Linked DNA regions of Cricetulus griseus. The protein of the gene in region 3 interacts with the protein of the main gene of each other region in a pairwise test. Links are inferred from orthologs where the notes say so. Each region holds a gene or a part of one and is shown on either strand. Other genes may lie near its edges. The genes, in order: Gem, Cchcr1, Trim27, Arhgef3, Tuft1, Psmb1 and Cwf19l2.

Region 1 (4,203 bases), on a different chromosome or scaffold from region 3:
AACTGATCATTAGAGCGGTAATTTCCACCTCAGAATATAAAGCTATTACCTGTGGTTGTATATCTTTTTATAAACTATGTCTAGAATTAGAGAAGGATTGAATAAATAAATAGTCAAAATAAGACCAAACAGAGAAAATCATCTGGAAAACCTATCAGACTCTACACAGGGCATCTTTCATCATTTTTATATTTCAGTTTTTTTAAATTATTATGTTACTTCAAGTATAGCGTTTGACCTAATTATACTTGTAAATGCTTCTAATATCAATGGGCACAAGCTAATTGATGCACTCCAACAGGTTTTTTTTCTTTCCCTGAAATCAGTTTGGTTTTATGCATAAACACAGAAAAGGTGTCTGTACTGGTCAGCTCTTGAAAAGTAGTCCAGGTCAGGGTCCACCTCCCTGGACCCCGAAGACTTGACCTCAGAAAGTCCCTCGATGGCTCAGGTCATAGATCTTGGTGCTGTGTACCTTATTCATTTCTTTTCTTTTGTGTCCTGAGGACATATGCTGGGACTTAGGGTTGGCCTCTGCTACCCATCTCAGTATCAAGTATCTCATTTTCTCCTAATTCTGAAGATACATTTTGTTTTGGTTTATTATTTTTTGAGACAGAGTTACACAGCCCAGGCTAAACTCAAAGCCACTATGTAGCAGAAGATGACCTTGAATTCCTAGTACTTTCACCTCTGCCTTCCCAGTGCTGGAATTACAAGTGTAATTCTAATTAACTGTAATTCCAATTCTGGCTTCCAATTCTGCAGAAAAATGACCCAATCACTTTTGCTTTTTCAGCTTACAAGACAGAAGCCCACCTACCTCCCAGGACCTCACAGTCACTGTCCATGCTGTCATGTACACCTGCGAAGATGTTGGCCAGGGTGGACTTGCCTACCCCTTGCTCCCCTATAAGCACCACTCGGTAGTAGGTGTTTCCTGACTCAGAGGAGATGACAGAGTCTGTGGAGTCGGAGGACCAGCTCTGTCGGCAGTGGTCTTCAGGAGTGGTAGAGCGGCAGCTGCGGAGGTTCCAAGGGTGAGGATCCTTCTGGACCATCAGATGCCTGCCATCAGCAGGGATGCTCCAGCGCTGCTGTGGCTGCATGCCCACAGTGCCCTGGCGCATGGTGACATTATTCAGAGTCATTGTGGGGTCCTAGGAAGCAAAGCAGTCAAGATGCCAATATTAGCAAGGATGAGCTAGGCCCAAGGAAGTCCAAATACTGTTGTCAGTGGCATTCCATTTGATTGGTATGAATTAAGCATCCTTTTTTTTTTCTTTTTTTTTCTTTTTTTTTCTTTTGGTTTTTCGAGACAGGGTTTCTCTGTGTAGCTTTGGAGCCTATCCTGGCACTCGCTCTGTAGACCAGGCTGGTCTCGAACTCACAGAGATCCTCCTGCCTCTGCCTCCCGAGTGCTGGGACTAAACGTGTGGGCCACCAACACCCAGCAAGCATTCTTAATATAAGGAGCACCCATGAAGCAGTCCCCAAGGCCCTAGCATGCAAATCTTACACACACACACACACACACACACACACACACACACATACACACGCAGCTTCTTAGGCAGGCTGTCATTTGCATTTCCAATAACATCACCAACTGCCTATAAGCAACCTCCATCCTTAAAGAAACTTTGAAAATCCCACTGGGAGGTGGCACAGAGGCAGCTGGAAGGAACCCACTGCCTCCAGAAATGGCTTTACCATCAGCAACAAGTCAATGTTGCTGGGGACCAGCTGGCCAGGTTAGCTGCTCTTGTCTAAACATGGCTCTTAATTGCACCAGCGTCTTGGAGCTTTTGGGGCCTCAGTGGGAGGCACGTGGCAATGACATCACTCCCCTGGCTGGACCGGACAGGCACTTTGGGGGAACTTCCATGTTTAGTAAAGTTGCCCTGATGTTCTCCAACTGCCTGAAGAGAACATTACTTGGGAGTGGGGCAGTTTGTGTTTAAGGTTTATGCCTTACCTCTGCCCTCTTGCCCACAGATACTGTTTAGCATACTAGCCCTGAGCCTAGTCCTTCTCACACTGGCAGGACCTGCTCACATTTGCACACATCAACTTGTGCAGAAAGGGCTTCATTCTTAACGAACCTCGTCTACACCAAAATTTATTTAGTTAGCTCAATGTTCCACCCTCTTGAGGTAAATCAGAAGGTCAAAGACTCAACGAAAAGACACTCAACAACTTCTTACTACTTTCTCCTTGCAACACCTCCTTGCTTGACAAGTCTGTTCTGTCAAGACTTCCCTAGAGAACACAGAAGCAGTTAACTCAGCAAGCGCCCCGCGCGAGCGCTAGGATCGCACTGAGCTCACACACCCTACTCCACACCCCAACTCCTAAGCCACTAGCCAGAACCAGTCGGTTTCTTTTTAAGTCATAAAAACAGTCCCTGATTGATGGCCGCCTGGCCACCTAATCCTTAAGGTGACACTCCTCCGGGACTGAATCAAGGAACCCCCATGAGAAGTATGTCCTCTGCACCTGAACTTTTCTCCCATGGCAGAACCTCCGGCACAGACCTCATGGTCCGGGGGCTCCCTTCCCAACTTAAAAAGTTCAGTGGCCCGGAACTCCCCTCCCAGACGCGGCTCCCACCGCGACTGCCCCTCCGCGATGCCCCCTTACTTGGTTGCACCCGGCCACAGGGTCTGCAGTCGGTCGGCACAATGCCTGCTGCCTGCTGCAATGCCTGCCGCCTGCGATGCGATGCTGGCTCCGCAGCCCGAGACCGTGTGGTATCAGCCGGCAGCGCCGCCTCCTAAAGCCACCTCGGCCAGCCACCGCCGTTTATAGCACGCCCGGCGGCCCCGCGACAGGGCTTTTCCGTGACGTCAGCGCTCCCGCTGGGAGGGGGCGGCGCTGCAGCAAACTCTTAAGTTGCAGCCACTTGGCTAAATCAGTTACTAGCAGTCATGTGATTACCCTCGCCCCTTGAGGGGAGAGAGGGAAAAAAATGACAGTTCAGTCCTTGGCCTCCTTGATTTTGTTTTATTTTCTTTTTACCAGGTGGACACTGGAAAAATACACTTAGTGCTACTTAATCGCCCTTCCCAGCAGGGCACTTGTGAGCTGTCTGAATAAAGGATGGGGAAAGAGACAAGCCTGAGTTGCCGCGAGTCCAGCTTTGCCAAGAAAGCAGATCAGCCTGAGTGAGCAAGACTTCTGCCTCCAGGCTACTCTCACACTGGGTGGGCAGGCCAGTTTTACAGCATGCTCTGAGAGGCAATGGGCTCTCCTGCTTCCCATCACCTTCTCTCTGGGGTGGGGAGAGGGGAGCACCACACTACTTTGTTTCCCTCTTCTGGCTGGAGACCCAAAGAGAAGGGGCCAGAGGAAAGAGCTGGGGAAACCTTGGAAAGGGCAGTTTGGCTCCAAACAGCTTGCGATAAACATTCCTGTTCTGGCCACAATGCTGACGTTTCTCAATCAGAAATTTAATCACATCCCAATTGGTGCAACTCAGAACCTAGCTGCATGGCTGGAACTGTGCCCTGGAGCCTGGGCTTCCCAGCCGTGGGGAGATGATCAGGCCCAATCCCCTGAGAGTCCTGGTAGTGAAGGACACAAGATCGCAACTGCTATTAACATTTGCTAGGATTTCCAAAAGCCTGTGGTACTGGTGGGCCCGGGGACCTTGCTCCTTACCACAGTCGTAGATTGAGGAACTAGAGATGCTGCAGGATATCAGGGCCGGTGGCAGGGGCAGCATTTAGGACCTAGTTTGAGTAACTTTTTACCTGCACCACTAAGTGACCTCTTCCCCAGGACCTGGGTATTTCCCAGGGACATGGGCATTTCCCACATGCTGTGTTTAGAGTCCATGCTAGCCTGTCCAACACATCCATCTGCTTCTCTAGCCAACTTCTGCTCTGGGTTGCCTGGGAAGCAGCCAGCAACACCAGTGTCTCTTGCAGAGGCTGTGGGTACAATGGATTATTCCCAGTTTTCCTTGGGCATCTATCTGATTTGGGAATTATGCAAGTGACTGGCTTCTGAGGTCTGTCAAGGACCAAGCTGGCAAAGGTAGAATCCACCAAGTAATAAAAATGTGGAGTGCACAATTTTATTTATGCACAAGGAATCTGAGAGCCAGGTGGATGAAGGCCACTCGGAGAGGAGATGGCCAAGCTGGAAGTGCATTCTGGGTACCACAATGCTCTGGATACTGCTCTTCATCCACCAAGT
Region 2 (4,182 bases), on a different chromosome or scaffold from region 3:
GCCTTGAGCTGGGAAGGAATGCCTAGGTCACTAGAACACCGCCTTAATGGGAACAAGGAGGTTCAGCAACCCTGGACACTTGAGTCAAGTGTGAGCATAGTGCTAGAATGTCCACTTTACTGATGACACCCCAGCGCCTCCCTCCTAGCCCTGTGTGAGCTAAAGCAGCCGGGCAGGTTAGTCCTGCACAGCTCTCATGGGCAGATCAAACCGGATCCTGCTTGTCTGCTCTACCAGAGATTGACAGGGACTCTGGGAGGCAGGTATGGAGTCCCAGAGGCTCCCCTACTCATGCCATCCTGGGGCTGCCTGCTCACCGCTTACCTTGACTGCTGTGGTCCTCCAGGCTGACCCGCCAGTCGTCCCCTTGGAGCTCAGCGTGCAGCAATGCATGGACCCCAGAGATGAGGCCCGGCTCCTGCTGGGGCCGCAGGGCCACATCACACAGGTCAGCCCTGCAGCCCAACCGATAGGTGCAGCCTGACCTGGACGGGGGGTGGAAGGTGTAGAGATCACCGCCCCTGCCGCCCCCTATGCGCAGCAGCTGGAAGCAGGGCAGCATGGGGGGGTGCTCCCCTCTGCACCGCTTCTCAGCAGTTCATCACCTCTCCTACTCCCAGGCCATGCACCGGGGGCTTCGGTTCAGTTGTCTGACGTCAGCAGCCCCACTGTGGGTAATGCCAACTTGAGAAACACAGATTTCCAAGAGCGCCAGAGGCCTGGACACGCATGCAACCGCTGTAGCTAGCGGCTGTCAAGATGAGACTTCAAAAGCAATTCCGGAGAAGCCCTTTCGCGATGCAAAACCAGGAAGACGTCCTGTGGGACCTCCGTGATGCCGGGTCCTCAGGCCGCAGAATATCCGGGGAGGCTGTAGCAATCTGTTCAAGGCAAAGCTACTTTAAGCGGCAGCTGGGGACACCCCAGCGGGGTGAGGAGGTCCCGCTACACGGACGTGCGTGCGACACGAACGTGTCCCCTCGAGTGTAAGCAGGAGCCGGGAGGGAAGCCTACAGGTCAAACTTCCTAATCCAGGTAGAGCACCCCTTCTGTCCTGCCCCGAGGGAAGGGAATCCGCTGTCACCCACAAAGGGCGGCGCAGACAGGTCCCTAACTCTGCAACAAGGTGGAGCTCACCCTCTCCTCTTGCGCTTGCGGGGTGCCCCGAAGAAGGACTCCACACCCTGTGCCCCTCGCTCCCGCTGCGGTTTGACAGCCAGGAAGCCGCCCTCCGGAGGGCGCGGCTCGGGCGGGCGAGCGGGCGAGCCGGCGGGCGCGCACCGCGCAGACTCCTCCTACGGAATTCCCGGGTCCAGCTTCGCGCCTGCGAGCCCGCGCCCCTCCCCAGGCTGTCTCTGATTGGCCATCTGACTCGCCCTCCTCCGCTGTACTGGACGATGCGCAGGGAGGGGCCGTCCATCTCCCGCCCTCCGCCGTTTCTGATTGGCCTGCAGGTTTCCCGGGTTCCCGGGATGGGGCGGGGCCGCCAGGGCGCGGAGAAGGCCTGGAGGAGTCAGTGTGCCTGCGTGCGCCGTTCTTCTTCCTTCCTCCTTCCGGCAGGCGGGGCGAGTTGGGGCTTTAGAGCATCCCGCCAACCCCACCCGCCGCGCGCATGCGTGCTCAGGGCGGGAAGCCTAGCGGGGAAGCCAGGGGCTAAGGGGCGTGGCAAGAAGGCGGACCTCGCGCTGGGTAAGGAGCGTTCGGCCGGAGTCGGTTGGTTGGGGGCGGAAAGGGGCCTGAGAGGGGGTGCTCAGGAGGGTGGAGGGGGTCCACAGGGCAGGAGGGGTGCAGGAGCCCGGTGAAAGAACAGATGAGGAGGTCGGGGCAGCCTTACAGCTCAGGGTCCTAGTGAGGGGGATGAGCCCGTGGGTGTGTGCAGGAGAGGAGAGGGCAGACCTGAGGACAGCGAGCGACCGGGACCATAACGTCAAGAAAAATGCAGAGTAGGACTAGGAAGAGAAGCGTGTAGGGATCTCGTTGAGTGGAAAACAAACAAACAAACAAAAAATTTGAGTTCGGACGGGAGTTGGACAAAGAAGATGCTGCAGGACTCTGAGCAGCGAAGGGCTTCGGGAATGGAAGCAGAGGGGATAGAGAGAAACTGAGGCCCGCTGCAGGGAGACTCCGATGAGATAACAGGAAGCTGGCTGCCTGGCAACGCGCTCCAGGCTGCTTGCATTCCCTGGGGATCCTAGGGAAGCCGCTTAACCCTACATGAGGCCCCATTCTTCTGGTGCCAGGCCTTGGGCTAACGCTTTTGTAGGAAATGACCCAGAAATCATGGCGCGGTGGTGCCTAGATGGGTTTCCCAACGTCCCTACCATACCATGGCGAGAACTGTGGAGACGGGGTTCACAACAGGCCCGCTCACCTCCAGACCAGAGCTACAGGGATCGTAGACACTTAAGGAGGAAGGTAAAGGCACCACTCACAATCCTGTAGTAGAAGCAAAATCCCCAAGAGCATCCCCTGGCCCCCATCTCGGTACATTTACCCCATGATTGTTGCCTGGTTCCTTTGTCAGGAGCGTGTGTTCGGGACAAGCAAGTCTGCCTTGTTAGGGAAGTAGGGAGAGAGAAGCTCAGAGCTGGGCAGATCTGTCAGTAACTGAAGGATTGTGGCTTTGTTATTATAGGACTTCCTCTTTGGAAGGTGGCCTGAAAACTGAACTGGAGTCTCCTTGTTTCTCCTACTGTCCAGGGGAACCTACACTCTTGCGGACAAGATCGAGAGGCTTCAGATAGAGTGGAGATGTTGTCTCCCTCAGGTCAGTAAGGCCAATCAAGGAGGCTGGGAAGTCTCTCTGTGTCTCTCTGCCTCTGTCTTTCTCCCTCTCTCCCTCCCTCTCCTCTCTTTCTCTCCCTCTCTCTCTCCTTCCCTTCCTCCCTCCCCCTCCCTCCCTCCCTCCCTCCCTCCCTCCCTCCGTCTTCCTCTCTCTCTCTGAGAAACTGACAGTCTTTACTCTTGTGACCCACCCCCTCAGGTTTTGCTGGACTGGTTCCTCCCTCCCACTTCCAAGCTCGGCCGAGAATGGCCCCGACCTGGGCTTCAGACATTCCCCAGTTCCAATCCACATTTGACCAAGATGTCCTAGAGAGGCGGCAGCTGGACTCTCAGAGGCCCACAGTGACCATGAGGGAACAGGATGTCTATGGAGATGGGCAGGGGCCAGGGCAGAGAGGCAGGTAGGGATCTGTCAATCACCTTTTTCTCAGACTTGCTAATGATCCTTTATACACACATTCCTTTATTTCAGCAGCCCTGGGTTCCATAACTTGTGTGGTTTTCTGTAGGCCATTGTTGGTACCTACACTGCATATACCATTATGCCCTGGAGAAAATCAAGAGAGAGGAGAGAGAGAGAGAGAGAGCGCGCGCTCTGGACTTAAATTCCCAATTAACAAGTGTTGCTAGAGTTTCTTTTCCTCCAGGTCCTGCCACCGCTTCAGCCCCAAATAAACACACAGACACTATATTAGTTATAAAACAGTTGGCCAATGGCTAGGGCTTCTTGGTGGCTAGCTCTCTCTTCATCATTAACCCACTTCTATAAATCTATGTATTTCCACGTGGTCTTGGCTTACCAGAAAATGCCCAGACCTGTTACTCCTTTGGCAGCTACATGGCATCTCCTCCCTGCATCTCTCCCAGGGTTCTCCCTGTCTCCCTGCCCCACCTATCTTCCTGCCTCTTTTGGCCAAACAGTGTTTTATTCATCAACCAATAAAAGAAACATATATACTGAAGGGCATCCCCCATCATCTCCTCTTTTCTGTCTAAATAAAAAGAAGGGTTTACTTTTACTTTAACATAGTAAAATTATATATAACAAAAACAGTTATCAAGTAAAAACATATAGTTAACAATAAAGAAGGAGTGTAAATGTCTGAGGGAGGAGATGGATTGCCCAGAAGCCATTGTGAAACGAAGTGACATGCTGGCTCTTAGTTAAAAGGGCCTTTCCCGGCATACACCACTGGAGCTGGCTATGCTCGGCATATGTGGTTTAAGATTTTATTTTTGAGCCGGGCATGGCCTGCCTTTAATCCCAGAGAGGCAGACAAGCAGGCAGATCTGAGTTCAAGGCCACTCCCTCCCTGGTCTACAGAGTGAATTCCCTGACAGCCAGGGCTACATAGAGAGAATCCTGTCTGGGGAAAAAAACAAAACAAAACAAAAAAG
Region 3 (3,500 bases):
CTGATCAGCTGCCCAAGTATTAGGTTTATGGGCATGATTATTATGCCTTGCTCATGGAAGGATTTTTAGGGCTAGAGGACTTGGGAACCCTGGCTATACAGATAACATGTGTGAAGTTGGTAGAACACAGTATCAGACTAAGTCACAATCAAGAATTCCACCTTCCAGAGAGCCGCCAGACTCTGCAAAGGCAAAAGTTCAAATGCACGACATACATATTTATAACTCTTAATTTGTACAAACCGTCTGCTGTAGAGGCTGAGTGGTTCAAATGACACCCACTGCCATCATTAATTTATGTGGGATTTCTAGTTGGCCAGGGATTTCACACAAGAGTCTTTGAAGTGTCAAAGGAAGAGGAAGAGAAATAAACAAGAATCAGAGTGAGGAAAGCCACTTCTGAACTAGCCACTGAACTAAATGTAGTTGTGGAGTGCAGGGATGGCACATCTATAATCCCAGAGGCTGAAGCCCTGCGGCAGCAGACTGGTGAGAGTAGGCTAGACTGGGCTATACATTAAGACTGTCTCAACAAAACCCAAACTAAAACAACAATAACAATAATCAATAATGTGAGATAGGGAAACATATGCATGATGTATGTGTGTGAGGGATGACATAAATCATACTGCACAGGTAAGAGTCTGGTCTCTCCTTACACCAAGTTCCAACTTCCAAACTCAGGTCAACAGGTTTGTACTTACTCAGCCATTTTGCTGACCTGACCCTCCTGAACTCTCAATATACTCAGCTCTTTCCAAGAAATAAAATATCAAGAGCCCAGTAGATAGGCAAATTTACCTTGGATTTTCTCCATATCTGACTGCATTTTTTCTAAGGACAAAAGAGAAGAGATTCAGTTTATATTACTCTGTTTCCATTGGGAAATACATTCTCAGATGACAATAACATACGGATATCAGAATATAAACCCACTTCATCTCCTCATATTACCTGTAAACTGCTTCAGACTTTCTGTCAAAAACAGACATTTTTGGGCAAAAATGTGGATTTTCTCTTGTAGATCTGGAGGTGTGATCCAGGGCTCAGGGATCCTGATTCTTTCAGCCCTAAAATAAAACAACAAACCCCATATGACTCCTTTCCCTCAATTCTCCAACTTCCTAAGGCCCTGGCCAAGACCTAGCTAACCTGTCTCACACTGTAGGATCAGCTACTACAAGCTTTTATACTGTTCCTCTAAATCACTGTTAGAGAAGAAAGTGAGATATAACCTTAGTCATTTTCATCTCTCCCAAAGCACTGGCTCATGGCTTTTCAAATACTAAGCCTTAAGTGGGTGCATTGACTCTTCCCTGCAATTCCAGTCCTTAGGAGGCAAATGCGTATAAGGGATCACTGCTTGCTTCAGGCCATCTAGGGTTACAGTGGATCTTGCTTTAAAACTTACAAAACAACTAGGCAGTGGTGGCACATGCTTTTAATTCCAGCACTTGGGAGGCAGAGGCAAGCAGATTTCCCAGTTCCAGGTTAGCCTGGTCTACAGATCTGAGTTCCAGAGTTACACAGAGAAACCCTGTCTCAAAAAACTAAAAGACAAAAACCAAACCAAACAAAAACAACAACAACAAAAACCCAAACCAAAACAACCTTCCAAAACAAAGCAGACAGAAAAGAAACTTTTCAATATCAAAATAAATTATGAAGCTGATCTTGCTAGAAAGCAAAAGTTTCCATGACAAAAAAACCTTATGGGAAAATATCTAGAATTTTCAGATTCCCAAACAGAGAGAATTCGAGAATACCATCTTTAGAAAGAGAGGTGCGTGTGAGGGATAAGACCCAATTTCCTAACCACTAAAAAAGGGACTGTATAGCACAGACTTGCCTTCTCCCATCTTCCACACACATTCTAACTTATGGCTGGTCAATCTTCCACCTGTGACCTTATAACTGAATTATAGCTAATGAGAGATTAAGAAGCATCTAATAGAAATTTAAAGGGTCAGGGAAGATAGCTCATCAGGTAAAGAATCTGCAGCTAGAGTATTCCCTAAACTCACACTGTAAAAAAAGAACCAATCAATTTATCCTCTGATCTCTGCATGTGTTGTGGTGTGTACTCATCCATCATGTGTGTGAGACCACCCATGTACACACACACAAAAATGAATAATTTTTCTTTAAATTTGCATAAAGATCATTTTAGCATTGTAGCAGCTTTGTTGGTCTAAATGAGGACCACACTGCAAGCATGGTAAAATGGGAAGGAATTAGCCACCATACCAACTACAGAGCTATCTGTAGCTATATACACATTATAAAATTGTTATTATGCTTAAACCTTAGGTCAATGAAACTTTAGATTTCAGAACTCATAGAGCCAAATCTATTTTTTTCCTATAAAAAAAAAAAAGAAAAAAGAAAAAGTAGAGGCCCAGCAGGCAGTGGTGGCACACACCTTTAATCCCAGCACTGGGGAGGCAGAAGTAGGTAGATCTCTGAGTTTGAAGTCATCCTGGTCAATTGAGTTCCAGGACAGCCAGAGCTACACAGAGAAACCTCTCTCAAAGAACCAAAAATAATTAATTAGTTAATTAATTATGAATTTATTTTTATTTATGTGTATATGTCTGTGTGTGTCTCTGTAAGGTTGATGGCTTGCCATCCCAGGCCTGCATCACAAACCAGAAAATAGAGCAGGGCACATGGACTAGTGGCAGAGCGTATTTCTGGCATGTGAAAGGCCCTGGGTTCAATACCTGGTACTACAGAACAGGGAAAACCAAAACTAAACAAACTTCAAAAAACCCCCATACAAAACAAAACACAAAACTGGGCATTATAGATCATGCTTATAATTTCTGTGTTAAGAAGATGGAGCAGGAGGATCAGAATTCATGACTAGCCCACTCTAGAAGACCTTATCTCAAAACCAAACCAAAACAAACTGAAATCTATCAGACAGAGACTTATTTTCTTAGCCACCCAACTGGGAATGGTAGAACTTCCAGTCCCTCTGCATCTCAGGAGCTCTGAGAACTATAGTTATCTGCATACATCTCCCAGCCAACCCATCAAACTGTATTTTCCTTTAAAGGACTTTAATCAACCTCCAAATTCAGCTTTGTCAAAGTCAGTCTCATCCTTTAGGCATTCCCATATTAAATATGGTAATCTTTCTAAAGCCTGAAGCTATCCTACAGCTTTAACTGTCTTGTCTTCTTGCCTGCTCCAAAATCTCCCTTTCCTCTGGTCTGCTCTTCCCTCCATTTCTAGTGCATGGCTAAGGCAAACACATGCCATACCACTGAGCTACACTCACTTTCCACTTGACAGCACAGTAGAGAAATGACTATAGCCAGAATCCATGTGACCCATCAATGCATCTTCCTTAGGCCTTATTTCCCCCATTATACTAAAGAATGAGATAAGAAAATGGGAAAAATCTGCAATTTGTAGGAAATAAGAGTCATAATCTGCTCTTGTACTCTTGTCAAGCTTTGGAAGTAGTGCCTTCACACCCAAACCACAGCACC
Region 4 (2,412 bases), on a different chromosome or scaffold from region 3:
CTGGATGAAACCACAGGGTTCAAACAAAGCTTCCTCCTTTACAAAGTCAAACCTCAGAAACCCCCAGAGATGTTTTCATGTATTCTGGTTGAATAACACGGAACCCGAGTTCACTCCAAGGGTTGGACTTTCCTAGCTTTTATTTGAATGTCATCTCAATACTCTGCAAGGCTTTCTCAATTCCAGATCTTCAGCTACTGTGTTGAAGAGCTACAGGAATACTAGAGAAGCATAGGACAAAGGACTTGTCAACGCACTCCACACACAACAGTAGTTTAGAGATCCTTCCTGTTTTGAAAACTCCAGAAGGATAACTCAAAGTAACTTGTTCACTCCCTCTCCACTCATCCAGATGCTTATGAGATAAAGCAATGGAGGAAAGGCTGCTGCAGACTCCAGCTGACACAGAGCATCAGTGGCTTGTTACAGTACTAGGGACAAGACACAGACAAAGGGACACATGTGCACAGGCACAGAAGTATTACAGCGTGCCTCTCCAAACTGTTCATGTGTGGAATGCCAATACTGTACAGGTAAGACATGGGCACAGCCCTCTGTCAGACACTTTCCTCTGGTCTGCTATTTGCACAGGAGACATCTGTCTGTTCCATCCGCTCACATTCAAGGCTGACCTCACTGGTGTCCATACTGCAGTCCGACTCACTGTCCGATTGGTCCATCTGCTCAAGTTTTGTTTCTCCTTGTGGCTCCCTGTTCTCAGTGCCAGGACCCAGGAGTATTCCCTCAGAGTCCAGCAACCCTGCCTGCCCAGCAGCAGACAGAACTGTTTCTTTGGCTTGCCGGATACAGTTGAGCCACTGCTGTTTGTTGAAGGTGTCATTGGCTTGTAGTGAGTGGGTTTGACTTTGGGATCCATTTTTGAAACTGACTCTGAAGAAGTTTTTAACTAGAAATGAAGAACAAATAAAAAGAGAGTCAATTGGTAGGTATTTGCCAAGGCTAACGATACCACCCATAGCGGCACTAAGCCCTGGGACCCATATCAGACACTGCCGATACAGAAAGTCTCCTACTGATGCAGGACTCAGTCAGTTCTATCCTGATGCCACTCTCAATTGACTAGAGTGACACAGGCCTAGCTCAGTTTCCCTGAAGTGATTGGCTACTACACCTGCCTAAATATTAGAAGCACTTGGAGAGGACATGAGAGGGGAGAAGTGATGCAATTATATTTTTATATTATTATTATTATTTTGGTTTTTCTTTTTTCTTTTTTTTTCTTTTTTTTTTTGTTTTTTTTGAGACAGGGTTTCTCTGTGTAGCTTTGGAGCCTATCCTGGCACTGGCTCTGTAGACCAGGCTGGCCTAGAACTCACAGAGATCTGCCTGCTTCTGCCTCCCAAGTGCTGGGATTAAAGGCGTGTGCCACCACCACCCAGCACAATTATATTTTAATAAAAAATACAGGCCCTATCTTAGAAAAACAAAAGATAAATAACCCTGTCAATCTCTGTCTTTTCCGTTATTATCAATTTTATTATTATTTGGAGACAGAGTCTCACTAAGTAGTTCTGGCTGGCCTTGAACTCACTACGTAGACCAAACTCACAGAGATCCACCCGCCTCTGCCTCCCAGGTGCTGGGATGAAGATCCTAGGCATGTACCACTATGTGTAGGGAGTAACCCTAGCCCCGCCCAATAGTCCTGGGGCAGGTACCAGGTGGAAGGACATTACATGTATGGATACTCAAGGAAAGAACGTAGCTATAACCATCGAACAAAAAGAACGTGCTATACGGTAAAAATTTACAGCTGTCTCTCAAATAACTCTATGTCTATTCATTTCCTGGTCCCTATTCAACTAAATCGAGACTGGATTTAGAGTTGGGTTTGGCTTTCCTACTCTAAAATCCAAGTATGTTATTTAACAACATTTAAAAGTTTCTGTGTTATATCAAGAAGCCAATTGCTATAATACAGAATAAATAAAGAATAAGAGGACTATCTTTGTTTTTCTTGGCTTTTCTTTTACACCCTCTCAGAATCGTTGTTAGTCAAGGTTCATCAAGGTACCTTTTCCAGTACACATACATAAACAAGCGAACATTTCTCTGATGACACTTATGTTTGAGTCCCATACAGCCATCAAGACCCAGCCTGACAGCAATCCCTACATGCTCCGGAAAAGGAATTGGACTACACCTTCCTGACTACACTGGATTCAACTCACTCCGTTTCGACTGACACTCCAACCAGAACCTCGAGTAACGACTTCAATCAAGTTGAGGATTTCAACGTAGATCTTCAATCAAACAAATCATCTAACATGGACTAGACATAACTCATTAGAGACTTTCCCTGTACTAGCGTTTTTTTTTTCCACAGGGCCCCCACATGACCATCTTCGTCCCGTTTCAGCAGGAAGTAACCTAGAAGATGCTACGCCCCCG
Region 5 (3,500 bases), on a different chromosome or scaffold from region 3:
ATGTAAAGAAGGGCTGGAGAGATGTCTCAGCAGTTAAGAACACTGGCTGGTCTTCCAGAGGACCCTGGTTCAATTCACAATAACTACATGGCAGCTCACAACTGTCTGTAACTTCAGTTCTGAGGGACCTGGCATCCTTGCACAGACATATGTGCAGGCAAAGCACCAATGCACATAAAAATAAATAAATCTTTTTTTACTATTTATTTATTTATTTATTTATTTATTTATTTATTGGTTTTTTGAGACAGGGTTTCTCGTGACTTTGGAGGATGTCCTGGAACTAGCTCTTGTAGACCAGGCTGGTCTCGAACTCACAGAGATCCACCTGCCTCTGCCTCCTGAGTGCTGGGATTAAAGACAAGTGCCACCACCACCCAGCTGATCTGGTATTTAATAAAAACAAAAACATAAACCCCTGGAATTTAAAGTGGTGATGGTTCCACAACTCTATAACAACAGTAAAAACCACTGATTGACTATTTTAACTGAGTTCACTGTGTCATGTGCAAATTTTCTAACTCTATATTTGTTCTAAAGTTAGTTTTAATTTTAAAGTATTTTTTATTTAAAATTTATTTATTTATTTAAACATGCATTGGAATTTTGCCAGTGTGTATATCTGTATACCACATGTGTCTGGCAGCTTGTAAGGCATTAGATCCCTTGAAGCTGGAGTTACAGACAGTGTGAGCTACCATGTAGTTCTGGGAATCAAACTCAGGTCCTTGGGAAGAGCATCCTGCTTTTAACCACTAATCTATTTCTCTAGCCACATATTTTTAAATTTTTAATTATGTATATGTATGTATGTCTGTATAGGAGACTGATGCAGGGTATTTGTTCACACTGAAACCCCAAAACTGCCAATAAAGCTTACTTTGAATCAGAGGACAGAGTTAGCAACTAGCTGACCAAAATTAGCCATAGAGGTTTTGGAGAACCCAGGATGGATGGATGGATGGATGGATGGATGGATGGATGGATGGAGAGACAGAGACAGAGAGAGAGAGAGAGAGAGAGAGAGAGAGAGAGAGAGAGAGAGATTTATGGGGGCCGGAGAGATGGCTCAGAGATTAAGAGCACTGGCTGCTCTTTCAGAGGTTCCGAGTTCAAGTCCCAGCAACCACACAGTGGCTCACAACCATCAGTAATGAAATCTGGTGCCCTCTTCTGGTGTGCAGGCAGAACACCGTATACATAATAAATAAATCTTTAAAAAAAAATATATATATATATAAAGGAAAAAGAAAGATTCAGGGGTCCTTTTGGATCAGGGAAGGAGAGAGAGAGGAGGTCATTGGTCCCTTCTCCCCTTCTTCTAGTGTTTTTATCCCGAATTTTTATTAATAATAAAACAATATAAGTAAAAGTTTCAGGAGACTGTGCACATGAGTGCAGATGCATGGGGAGGCCAGAAGAGGGCATTAGATTCCCTGGTGCTGGAGTTACAGGCAGTTTTGAGCCACTTGACACAGGTGTTGGGAACCCAACTCAGGTCCTCTACAAGAGCAGTAAGCACTCTTAACCACGGAATCAACTCTCCAGCTTCTTCTAAAGCTATTTTTTAAAAAGAAGAAAAACTGTTCATGCCCATGCCTGGGGCCAGGCTTGGCCAAAGTTGCTCACTGCAGGGTGGATTCTGTGTGTTAGGACCCCTGCAGGAGATGACCAGGAGCTAGCATCTTCTTGATCTCTCCAGTGGTTGTATAAGCTGTCAATCAGCAGCTCCCTTGGTGTACCTTCAGGGTGGGGATGCAGGGGGACAGAAAGAAAAGGAGAAAGTGGACTAAGCTCACCTTAATGATCTCTTCATGTCCATCATGGGACTCCACCAGTTCTGAAGCCAGAGAATGACCAGAGGAGCGATCAGACACCATGGCGTAAGTGTTCCTGCCCGCCTGCCAGAGAGACAGAGAGAAGCGACTTAGAAACCACACAGCAACCAGGACCTCCTGCCCTCCACCCACACAGAGCCCTACATGAAGCTTCAGTCTCATTTCTTTGCTCTGCACCCCCCCCCCCAAGAGCAGCCATATAGCAACAAGGACACCAGGCAGGCAATGTTAGTAGAAAACTTGAGTTAGCTTCCATTTTAGTGGGGTCTCCCACTTCCCAAAGCACTAGGCTGAGCTAGCTGGGTGGGTCTGAAAGGAGATGCTCTCAGGCTTGCAGCAACAGACATGGCTCCAGACAACACTAGGGTGAAGGGTCAGCAGCAAGGGAGAACTGGCTTGAGAGGACGCCTTGCCCCAACAGACACCGTGATACCTTCTGGGCTATGTGCTCAAGTTCATCTCCTGTCAGCTCACTCTGGAGGGTCAGCCTGAGAATGTCCACGCTGCCCTAATAATGACAACAACAGCAACAGTGACCCCTTACCTTTAACACCTACAAGAACAACCAGCTAAGATGTACTCTCTGTCAGGCCTTGTCCATCACCAAGTCAAAGACAAGTCCAGAGAAATGCTCTCGGCTTGCCCACTATAAGGTCAGCTTGGGTACTGGCGTGTCTCTGACAGTACCCTTTGTCCACTACACCTGACACTGACTATATAAGCATACGGTTCCATGTGGCCCCAGGGACCTACCGTGATTCTCAGATCACAAGAGCACAGGGTATCAATCCTCCTTCCCCAGAGAACAGAGAAATTATCCCCAGACAGTCATCTCCAAGCCAAAATTCTTGTTTGTTTGAAAACTGGGACTCATGTTGCCCAGGATAGCCTTGAACTGCTGAATTTCCTGCCCCCACTTCCCCCAAGCTGAGATTACAGGTGTACATAAATGCACTCGGTCTTAAAGCCAGAATTTCTACCCCTGGCAACCAGCTGGGAAGTTTTTGAAGCCTAGGCTATCCTTCTGGAACCAAACAGTAAGACCCTAAATTCCAAGTTAGGAATGGACACACACACACACACACACACACACACACTCACATAATTTCATCACTTAACAGGCTGAGGCGGGAAGACTATCAATTCGAGGCCAGCCTGGAGTATACAAGTAAGACGTGTCCAAAAAACAAAATAAGCAAATAGCAAACAAAGAAACAAAAACCTGAATCTAACTAAGCCTCTATTAGCCATATAAAAATGATCCAAATTATAAAAGGCAAGATTATGGGCATTTATTCTGAGATCAGCCTAATTTCAAAGGACAAGGGAGACATTCTTTCCTAACTCAGGGTAAATTAAACACCTGTGGGGACAACTAAAACACCTTAGAAAAGAAAACAAAAGTGAGAGGAAAGTAGGAGGCTAGAAATTTAGGATGCACAAGGGACCTAGCCATTCTGAGTCTCAGTTCGAATGGCAAAAAATAAGGTGTCGACAGTCAGAGTGTGAGGGCATAAGGGTGACAACACCTTTCCAAGGGGTTGACTATCAGAGTGTGACTCCATGAGGATGACAACACCTCTCCAAGGGGTTGACTATCAGAGTGTGACTCCATGAGGATGACAACACCTCTCCAAGGGGGTTGACTATCAGAGTGTGAGG
Region 6 (4,266 bases), on a different chromosome or scaffold from region 3:
GATAAAATGAGCTGACAACTATAAAGTCCACCTGACACTTGACTGCTGCATGACTGGTCTAGTAAGTGAACAACCATCACTGTGGCATATGGTGGGGCTGTACTGTATGACTAAGCACCTGAGCACTGTTACTTAAGGGAGAGGCCTATTCATGCCACTTAATAGCTGTAAGACTTTGGATAAATTCTTCATGATGGTAATGACAGTACCTGTTGTGTTACATAATTCACATTAAAGTACCTACAATAGTTAACCTTCTAGGAAATAAACACCCAGGAAACATTACCCAGTATTTTACAGAAACCAGTTCTGTACTAAAGCAGAGAGGATGACATTCCACAAACCATGAACAGCAACAGAAGGTAAAAAGACATTACAAGCAACTTAATTGAGGTGATCCTTTGTGTAACTAGAAACATACACACTGTGATGAACTGTTGTAGAAGATCCCAAGTGCCAAGCTAAATTTTACAATTTTAGCAAGGAGTCCCAAAGCTTATACAATCAAGAATGAGAAAAGTTCCATTTGAAACAGGTTTTCAGACAATTCTGGCAATAATACAGTATATGAAATGGGATAGCAATACTGTTCCAGTCAGAGTGATGAGATAGGAAGCAGGATGAAGAGGGAGAAAAAGGAAAACACATCGGCAACGTATGCAACTGAGTTTTTATAACTACCTAAATATGTTTTGTGGGAAAAACAGCTAAAACATCCCAAGATAGGCAGAGTGATGACATAATCACAAGGGGCACTTTTTAAGGAGCAGAAGTGACTGAAAGGGAATAACCACCCTGCTTGTTTTTATACTAACATGAGTTACGGTGAAAACAGAAAATGCACTTTAGAAATGTTTTCCCAAAGAAGTCAAAATGTAGGGGCCTTTGAGAAATAAGGTTACAGAAATGGATTTTGGAATTATGTTCCCAGGGATTAGGCATGTAAAGGTCTTCAGTAACAAAATCTGGAAGCTACAAAGAGAAATTAACACCATCTTTTGAACCAGAGGCTGCTTGTCCGGCTAGTTGCAAAAATTCTAAAAGGAAGGGGGGCGGGGTAATAGAACTGTAAGTAACTGTTTGGAAAGTAACAGATGAAGAGGAACTACAGGAGGTTAAAAGGTAAATAGTGAGTATTGCACTCAGAACACTATTAACAAGCCTTACAATGTAAGTACTTAGTGTTCACATGCAGAGTTAAGACCAACACTGGAAAACGAAAGTTAAGAATTTAAAACTGGTTCTAATTCGAACAAGCTCTTAGACAAAGCTGTTTAAATGCCAAGAGCCAAGGACTAACACTATGAAATATTCCCTTAACTGCTTGCAGCCAGCTTACAAAAATGTAACCACCTTGAGTCTCTTTCAACATATTATTTCAAGAAACTGAAAGGAACCCACATAGCACACACTCACATTTGTTCTTCAAAAGCCACAACCAAGGCTAAAATTAGTATTTCACTGCCTATATAGTGTATTTTCAGCATCCATAAAGACATAATTAATCTTTTTTCTTTTCTTTTTTTCTTGAAACAGGTTTCTCCTTATAGCCCTGGAACTGGCTCTGCAGACCAGACTGGCCTTTGCCTCCCGAGTGCTGGGATTATCCCAACTGTTTTTCGTTTCTGTCTCCTCCTCTTTCTTCTTCTTCGTTTTGTTTTGTTTTTCGAGACAGGGTTTCTCTGTGTAGCCCTGGCTGTCCTGGAACTCACTCTGTAGACCAGGCTAGCTTCGACTCACAGATATCCATACCTGCCTCTGCCTCTGGGATTAAAGGCATGCGCCACCACCACTGCCTGAATGTTTTTCTTAACAAGCCACATTTTTTTGATAATTGGTTGTTTATAGGTATAAAATTGATGAAAACTACCTATATTGCCAAAGGTCCTAAATTCGAGGTGAAGACATCCCTTCGAACAAAGCGGATAATTTAAAGGCGCAAGCAATTTCAGAGTAAGAACACGAACACGAACGAACACACACACACACACACACACACACACACACACACACAGAGAGCGGGGGGGGGCAACCGTCTAAGGCCGGGGACACAGCTCAGCAGAACACGACACACACACACACACAGGCAACCGTCTAAGGCCGGGGACACAGCTCAGCAGAACACGAACACACACACACACACACACACACACACACACACACACACACACACGCAACCGTCTAAGGCCGGGGACACAGCTCAGCAGAACACGCGCGCACACACACACACACACACTCACACATAGTCAACCGTCTAAGGCCGGGGACACAGCTCAGCAGAACCTGCCCAGCAGGCCAAGTCGCAGAGTAGAACAAAACAACCCCTATTTCATCCCTGAACTTAAACCAAACGAGCATTAAGAGAAAAAAAAAACAAAACAGTGATCTACAAAGCCACCAGGACAAATCAGTGCTGAGGACAGGGCCCCCCTCGCCCGTTGGCTGTGGGGACGTGTTCAAGCCCCAAGAGACGACAGTGTTAGGAGCAGAGGGCTAGGGTGGGCGCCTGCCCTGAGGAATGCGGGAAGCATGCGATCCCGAAGGCGTCCGTGCAGGGCTCCGGGAGCCGGGCTGCGGAGCGCCCCGACAGGCTGCATCCCCACAGCCGCCCGCCCGCCCCAGGTGAGCCCAGCTTTTACCCTCCGTTGAAGGCATACGGCGAGAAACGCATCTGCACAGGGACGGCGGAGCCGTGAGGCCCCATGCCCAGCTCCCGCTCGGGGTTCCCGAAAGCAGCCGTGGAGAGCATCACACCGCGCTCCTGCTGTCTCACAGCAAAATGGCCGCCGGGACAGGTCCACTTCCGACCCGACCCGCCCCTCCCACCGGGCTCCTCTAGCCCGCACTCGTCGTTGCTCTTGGAGGTCTGTGCCTATGCCCCGCTACATATCCAGCTTGGGGTCCACCAATTAATTCCAGGAGACCTGTTTTCCAACCCCAAGAAAACATTCGATTCACTCATGGCCATACCAAAAACAAACAAAAAAACAAAAACTAGTTGCAGAGCAATGACAGCTCCGATTGTCACATTGGTGAAGTGGCATTTGAGGAGTTGCAGCTCCTGCTATGTTCAAGTCCTAGTGGTCAAGATGCATGGTCAGCTGTGTGGTATACGCAGCCACGCGATCCAGGAAGCGATACTAGGTTTCGCCAGCCAGAGCCTGATGGATCGTATTAACTTGACAGAATCTAGAATCACCTAGTAAAACCTCGCGGGCATGCTTATGCAGGTGATTTCAGGACAGTGTAGCTGAGAAGGGAAAACCCACCCTAAATATAGGTGGCACCATCCCATTGCCTGGCTTTCTGAACAAAAAGGAGGGGGAAAAAAAGAAAGAAAGCAAACTAACATTCATCTCCTTAGACTTCCGGTCTGCGGATGCAGTGTGACTCCCCCCTTCTCCAGACGTCAGGCTTCCCCATGGTGGACTGTACCCCTCAAGCCGTATGCCAAAAGGAACCTCCTTCTCTTAAGTTGCCTCTTGTCAGGCCTTTGTTAAGTTTTCTTAATGTCTTAAGGTTCACTATTCTTCCAAGAGAGAATGTTTCATTTAGAAGAAAATAGGTAACCAATACTATTGTACTTATTAGAATCCATGCAGAGGTCAACACCCTAGGCACATAACACACACAGGTAATATCCATCTCTCACACACACCCCTAACCTAAAGGAGCTTATCACCTCGTTGATAGTGCTAAATCCAAGGGAAAGGGAATAAGCAGAACTTCCTTTCTGCCTAGGTGAACCATATCAAGAAGAAATCAAGATACGCTGGAATTCAATCAAACGTTAAGAAGCAACCTAAGAGACAACTGCTGTTTTCTTGGAACAGCCCAGAAGTCAGCTGTTCGTCGCTGAGCTAAAATGTAAATGAATTTGTGACTCCACCTCCCCTGTGTCGTTGTCGTTCTTCAGATACCAGTTAACTTTCACTGAGGGTATGCTATTCGTGTCATTGAAATCACAAATTTCTAGGAGGCAGCTGCTACTACCATTCAGCTTTATGGCGTTAAGTGGAGGATGTAGGGAGCTTGCCGAGGGTAACACTGTAAGTGCAAAATCCTATTCGACTGGCAGGGCGTGGTAGCCTACGCCCTTAATCCCCTCGCTCCGGCGGCAGAGGCAGGAGGATCTGAGTTCGAGGCCAGCCTGATCTACAGAACGAGTCCCAGGACAGCCAAGGCTACACAGAGAAACCCTTTTTCAAAACAACAACACCCATGGGAGGCCAAGGATGTAGCTCATTGACAGATCGCTTGCTTGAG
Region 7 (4,218 bases), on a different chromosome or scaffold from region 3:
ACCCCAATATTTTGTCTCAGAAAAAAAAAAAATCTTCTTAAAAAGATAGGATCATCTTCACCAAAGAAACTAGGAAACATGAAGGACTCTAAGGGATAAATGGACCCCAGGAATGGGAAGTGGCATGAACTCCTGAGCTAATTGGGAGCACAAGGGTAGGGGAGAGGGAACTGCCACAATAAGATCAAGAGAAGAGGAGTAGAGGAGAGGAAATAGAGGAGCAGAAATATTGAGTCAGGGGAAGAATAGAGGAGAAAGAGCAGAATGAGAGATGCCATATTAGAGGGAGCCACTATAGGTCTGAGAAGAGATCTGGAACTAGGGAGATCTCCAGAGACCTACAAGGATGACATGATCTGACAATCCAGGCAATGGTGGAGAGGACAACCTAAAAACCCTTCCCCTAAAATGAGATTGATGACTACTCTTTATGCCATCCTAGAGCCCTCATCCAGTGGCTGATGGAAACAGAGACAGACATCCACAGATACACACTGAGCTGAAATCTGGAATTTAGTTGGAGAGAGGGAGGAATGAAGAACAAAGGGGTCTGTACCAGGTTGGAGAAACCCACAGAAACAGTTGGCCTGAACAAGGGGGAGCACATCGACCCCAGATGCTAACTGGGAGGCCAGTACAAGAGTGATCCAGATCCCTGAACATAGATGTCAATAAGGAGGCCTCTGCACTCCAGGGAGCCTCTGGTAGTGGATTAGTATTTTTCCCTGGTGTAAGAAGGGACTTTGAGAGCCCATCCCACATGAAGGGTTACACTCTGGCCCTGGACACATTGGGAAGGGCCCAGGCCCAGCACAAGAAGATTTGGTGGACTTTGCAGAGCCCCCGTTGAGGGCTACCCTGCCTGGGGAGTGGTGGGTGGATGGGGTGGGGGGTAGGTTGAGGTGGGGGAGGAGGGATGGGGGTGAGGGGAGGGAGAGGGAGAAGGGACTTACATGTGAAACAAGCTTGTTCCCTAACTTGAACTAAGGAAAAAAAAAAAAAAGATAGGATCATACTGCTAGTTTCTAGTCAACAGTCAACAAACGCCAAACAATGCAAGGTTTTTTCTGCTTTCTCATCTACCTCTCAAACATCAAAGCTGAGTTTGGTCCTATATGCAGATCCCTATAAAATTCATTACAGTTTATAAAGAGTTTCCTCCCAAAACTTCTGGAAATACCAGTCAGACAATAATGAAGAATATTATTATATCTACTTTGAGATCAATGAAAAATCACAATGGTTTATTTGTCCGAGACCAGGTACTCACTCCCATAAAAATATGACGATCATTACTCATTCTTCCTATCTTTTCTATTCTTTATATACATTTAAACTTATTAAAACTTCTTCCCCTTAAGCCCCCCACCAAATTGTTACCAAACACTGTTGTTCTTCAACTACAAATTTGCCCTTTGTGCAGTCACAGTTTGGAAAAACTTATCAGATAATTCAATATTTACTTTTTCCATTTTTTATAAATTCCATATATTTCAATATTAATGAGAATTCTGTTTACCAAACTTTTGGGGGAGACACACATTCTGAGTCTCTTATGTTAAACAGTGTTTCAATCAGTCTGTCTGGTGTTGTGTCTCACTGTCATGAAAAACCGTAATAAACCATTTTAAATGCCCAGTGAAAGACAGACAGACAGTGGAGGAATGCCCACTGTACTCAAATGTTTCCCACTTCCAATAGGCCGAAGAAATGACTCGGTCTGCAAGACAACTGGTGTCTTCAAATGTGGTACAGTACATAGAAACTGAGCAATCCACACTCAAAGCACAAGGACATTTGCTCAGTAATGTTCATGGCAGCATTACTTGTAATAGCCAGGACTTGGAGTCAACCTGGATGCCCCTCAATCGAAGAATGGACAAGGAAAATGTGGTACATTTAGACATTGGAGTACTACTCAGTGATTAAACCAAAAAAAGAAAGAAAGAAAGAAAGAAAGAAAGAAAGAAAGAAAGAAAGGACATCTTGAAATTCGAAGGCAAATGGATGGAACCAGAAAAAAAAAAAAAATCCTGAGTGAGGTAACCCAGACCCAGAAAGACAAATATGTACTCACTCATGATTGGATATTAGACTTAAAGCAAAGGACAACCAGCCTACAGGCCACAACCCCTGAGAACCTAGAGGACCCTAGGAAAAGGAACTAGACAAGATCTCCTAAGTAAATAGGAAGAGTAGGGGCAGGAGGGAGAGTGGAAGGGGAGGGGAGAGGGAAGGAGAGTGGGGGATGTATTGCTCAATGTTTTTTAAACTGGGCAAAAAAAAAGAAAAAGAAACCTAGCGATCCAGGCGGCAGAAATGTCAAGAATAGATGACTAAAAGCTAAGGAACCCAATCACATCTCTCTGCAAAGGGAATGAGCAAAGCGAGCGGGCAGAGAATTTAGGAGACACTGCTTTGGGAAAACAGCTGACAGCCTGACATGGAGAAATACCGACGTGAGGAGAGGAGTAGGTGGACTACCTCCCGGAAGTGTCAAGTCCTGCAATTCTAAGTAACTTTCCGAGATCTGTCTAAGAGAAAAAACGACAGCATTTCAGGAACGAAAGACGGATTCTCTGGGAGAGTGCTGGCCTGAAGTGCAGGAAGCGCTCAGTGTGAGCCCTGGTCTTAAAAGGAGGAAAGAAAACACTCCAAAGCGGAGATACCTGGCGTAACACTTCGGCCCTGGCAATGCGGGTCCGTTCTTTTCGCTCTTCGATACTCCTAGCACTTTCAAATCTTCCACCCAACGCCGCCATAGTTGTAGCTGTCATAAAGCGAGGAAGCCGTCCGGAAACCTCAGTTTACGACTGTCGCAAAGCAGGAACCAAATCCTGGCCTGTTACTATGCCAACGGAGCAGGCGCAGATTGAAAGGCGGCAGAGCTAAAGGTTTGGTGGAACGTTGGAAGTCCGCCCCGCGGCGGGCGTTTTAGGTGTGCGGGGTTCGCTGAGTTAATAATCAGCATGCGCAATGATGTACCTTGCACTGTGCTAGCTCCTGTCTTATCAAGACTCTTACTATCCAGATATCTGCGTTCTTGCCTGATTTCCTGTGATGGTGCACCAGGCTAAAGGGACGCTAATCAGAAAGTCAGGAGAACGTGGGGGGAAAGGGAAAAAAAAAATTGCTCTAAGATTCACTATTTTTTTTTTGTTGGTGGGTGTTTTTAAATATATTGGAAACGGAGTTGGAGAGATGGGTGAGTGGTTTGCTCTTGCAAAGGACCTAAGTTCAGATCCAAAAGCCTTGTGGAGGTTCACAACCATCTGTAGCTCTATTTCCAGGGGACCCACCGCCCTCTTCTGGCTTCCACAGGCACTTCACCTCCTTGGTGTACTTAGATAAAGGCAAACAAAACACTCACACACACATTCACACACCCTGTAGAGGTTGAGAGTGTTGCACAAGCCTGAGTGCAGGAAGAGTTCTCATCATTGGGTGTGAGATGCATTGAGTGTAAGATTCTCTCTCATGAAGAAAGCTGGGTGTTGGTGGCACAGGCCTTTAATGCCAACACGGGAGGCCGAGGCAGGCGGATCTCTGTGAGTTCAAGGCCAGCCTGGGCTATAGAGCTAGTTCCAAGACAGCCTCCAAAGCCACAGAGAAACCCTGTCTCTAACCCCCTCCCCCAAAATAAAAAAGCAGGGACCTTATGTTTACTGCATCTTGCTTAAATAAGTCTCTGTATCAAAATACTAGTTCTTATCTGTGCTACATATGATTCGTTCACAAGGATGGTAATAGGAAAATTGAGATAAGCCATTTCTCTTTCTTTTTACCTCTGGCAACTCAGCAGAATTTAAAATGCCAAACTTCAACGGTTACACCCCTATGCCCCCCACCAAGTGCTATTGTTGATTTGATTCATTACATTTAGAAGGCTGCAACCTGCACAGATGTACCCACTGAGAGTAACCAGCCAATACAGAGCTGATTGGAAGGGCTGCTGCACCTGCTCACCTAATACCAAAGGCACCCATAGGAGCACACCATGAAATATACTGCAGCTGGTCTGCTGGTTTTCAGTAACCTGGCTTCTCTGTTAGTCAGAACTGCTGTGAAAGTTCATTTTGCTGTTAAGAAGCAATACTCACGAGCCTTTGTATTGCAGAAGAAATGAAAATGTCAGGAAACTAAAAACTAGATTTTGATAATTTCCCTCCTGACCTTCCCTGTTCCATATCCCAGCATGATGACCAGGCTGATATTGTT

The links.
Region 1: the proteins of Trim27 (region 3) and Gem interact in binary tests that used the Homo sapiens proteins (3 or more experiments, as listed by UniProt). The two-hybrid records come from large-scale screens. The link is inferred for Cricetulus griseus from reciprocal best matches to the Homo sapiens genes TRIM27 and GEM.
Region 2: the proteins of Trim27 (region 3) and Cchcr1 interact in binary tests that used the Homo sapiens proteins (3 or more experiments, as listed by UniProt). The link is inferred for Cricetulus griseus from reciprocal best matches to the Homo sapiens genes TRIM27 and CCHCR1.
Region 4: the proteins of Trim27 (region 3) and Arhgef3 interact in binary tests that used the Homo sapiens proteins (3 or more experiments, as listed by UniProt). The link is inferred for Cricetulus griseus from reciprocal best matches to the Homo sapiens genes TRIM27 and ARHGEF3.
Region 5: the proteins of Trim27 (region 3) and Tuft1 interact in binary tests that used the Homo sapiens proteins (3 or more experiments, as listed by UniProt). The two-hybrid records come from large-scale screens. The link is inferred for Cricetulus griseus from reciprocal best matches to the Homo sapiens genes TRIM27 and TUFT1.
Region 6: the proteins of Trim27 (region 3) and Psmb1 interact in binary tests that used the Homo sapiens proteins (3 or more experiments, as listed by UniProt). The two-hybrid records come from large-scale screens. The link is inferred for Cricetulus griseus from reciprocal best matches to the Homo sapiens genes TRIM27 and PSMB1.
Region 7: the proteins of Trim27 (region 3) and Cwf19l2 interact in binary tests that used the Homo sapiens proteins (3 or more experiments, as listed by UniProt). The two-hybrid records come from large-scale screens. The link is inferred for Cricetulus griseus from reciprocal best matches to the Homo sapiens genes TRIM27 and CWF19L2.

The regions. Positions count from the first base shown.
Region 1 is NC_048595.1:125,837,883-125,842,085, reverse strand, and holds the start of Gem (GTP-binding protein GEM), read right to left. Parts: upstream 2,801-4,203; 5' UTR 2,644-2,800; intron 1,161-2,643; 5' UTR 1,152-1,160; coding exon 824-1,151; intron 1-823. UniProt on the Homo sapiens protein: Could be a regulatory protein, possibly participating in receptor-mediated signal transduction at the plasma membrane. Has guanine nucleotide-binding activity but undetectable intrinsic GTPase activity.
Region 2 is NW_023276806.1:229,456,643-229,460,824, forward strand, and holds the start of Cchcr1 (coiled-coil alpha-helical rod protein 1), read left to right. Parts: upstream 1-1,382; 5' UTR 1,383-1,397; coding exon 1,398-1,689; intron 1,690-1,695; exon of another isoform or gene 1,696-1,713; intron 1,714-2,240; exon of another isoform or gene 2,241-2,263; coding exon 2,264-2,415; intron 2,416-2,635; exon of another isoform or gene 2,636-2,700; coding exon 2,701-2,767; intron 2,768-2,983; coding exon 2,984-3,185; intron 3,186-4,182. Other genes in the region: Tcf19 (transcription factor 19), read right to left, coding at 325-562. UniProt on the Homo sapiens protein: May be a regulator of keratinocyte proliferation or differentiation.
Region 3 is NC_048596.1:243,539,132-243,542,631, reverse strand, and holds part of Trim27 (zinc finger protein RFP), read right to left. Parts: intron 1,071-3,500; coding exon 955-1,070; intron 835-954; coding exon 802-834; intron 1-801. UniProt on the Homo sapiens protein: E3 ubiquitin-protein ligase that mediates ubiquitination of various substrates and thereby plays a role in diffent processes including proliferation, innate immunity, apoptosis, immune response or autophagy.
Region 4 is NW_023276807.1:192,292,872-192,295,283, forward strand, and holds the end of Arhgef3 (rho guanine nucleotide exchange factor 3), read right to left. Parts: intron 908-2,412; coding exon 558-907; coding exon of another isoform or gene 506-557; 3' UTR 501-505; downstream 1-500. UniProt on the Homo sapiens protein: Acts as a guanine nucleotide exchange factor (GEF) for RhoA and RhoB GTPases.
Region 5 is NW_023276806.1:61,778,974-61,782,473, reverse strand, and holds part of Tuft1 (tuftelin), read right to left. Parts: intron 2,347-3,500; coding exon 2,272-2,346; intron 1,902-2,271; coding exon 1,800-1,901; intron 1-1,799. UniProt on the Homo sapiens protein: Involved in the structural organization of the epidermis. Involved in the mineralization and structural organization of enamel.
Region 6 is NC_048595.1:294,438,057-294,442,322, forward strand, and holds the start of Psmb1 (proteasome subunit beta type-1), read right to left. Parts: upstream 2,801-4,266; 5' UTR 2,750-2,800; coding exon 2,640-2,749; intron 1-2,639. UniProt on the Homo sapiens protein: Non-catalytic component of the 20S core proteasome complex involved in the proteolytic degradation of most intracellular proteins. This complex plays numerous essential roles within the cell by associating with different regulatory particles.
Region 7 is NC_048597.1:118,076,406-118,080,623, reverse strand, and holds the start of Cwf19l2 (CWF19-like protein 2), read right to left. Parts: upstream 2,801-4,218; 5' UTR 2,778-2,800; coding exon 2,670-2,777; intron 1-2,669.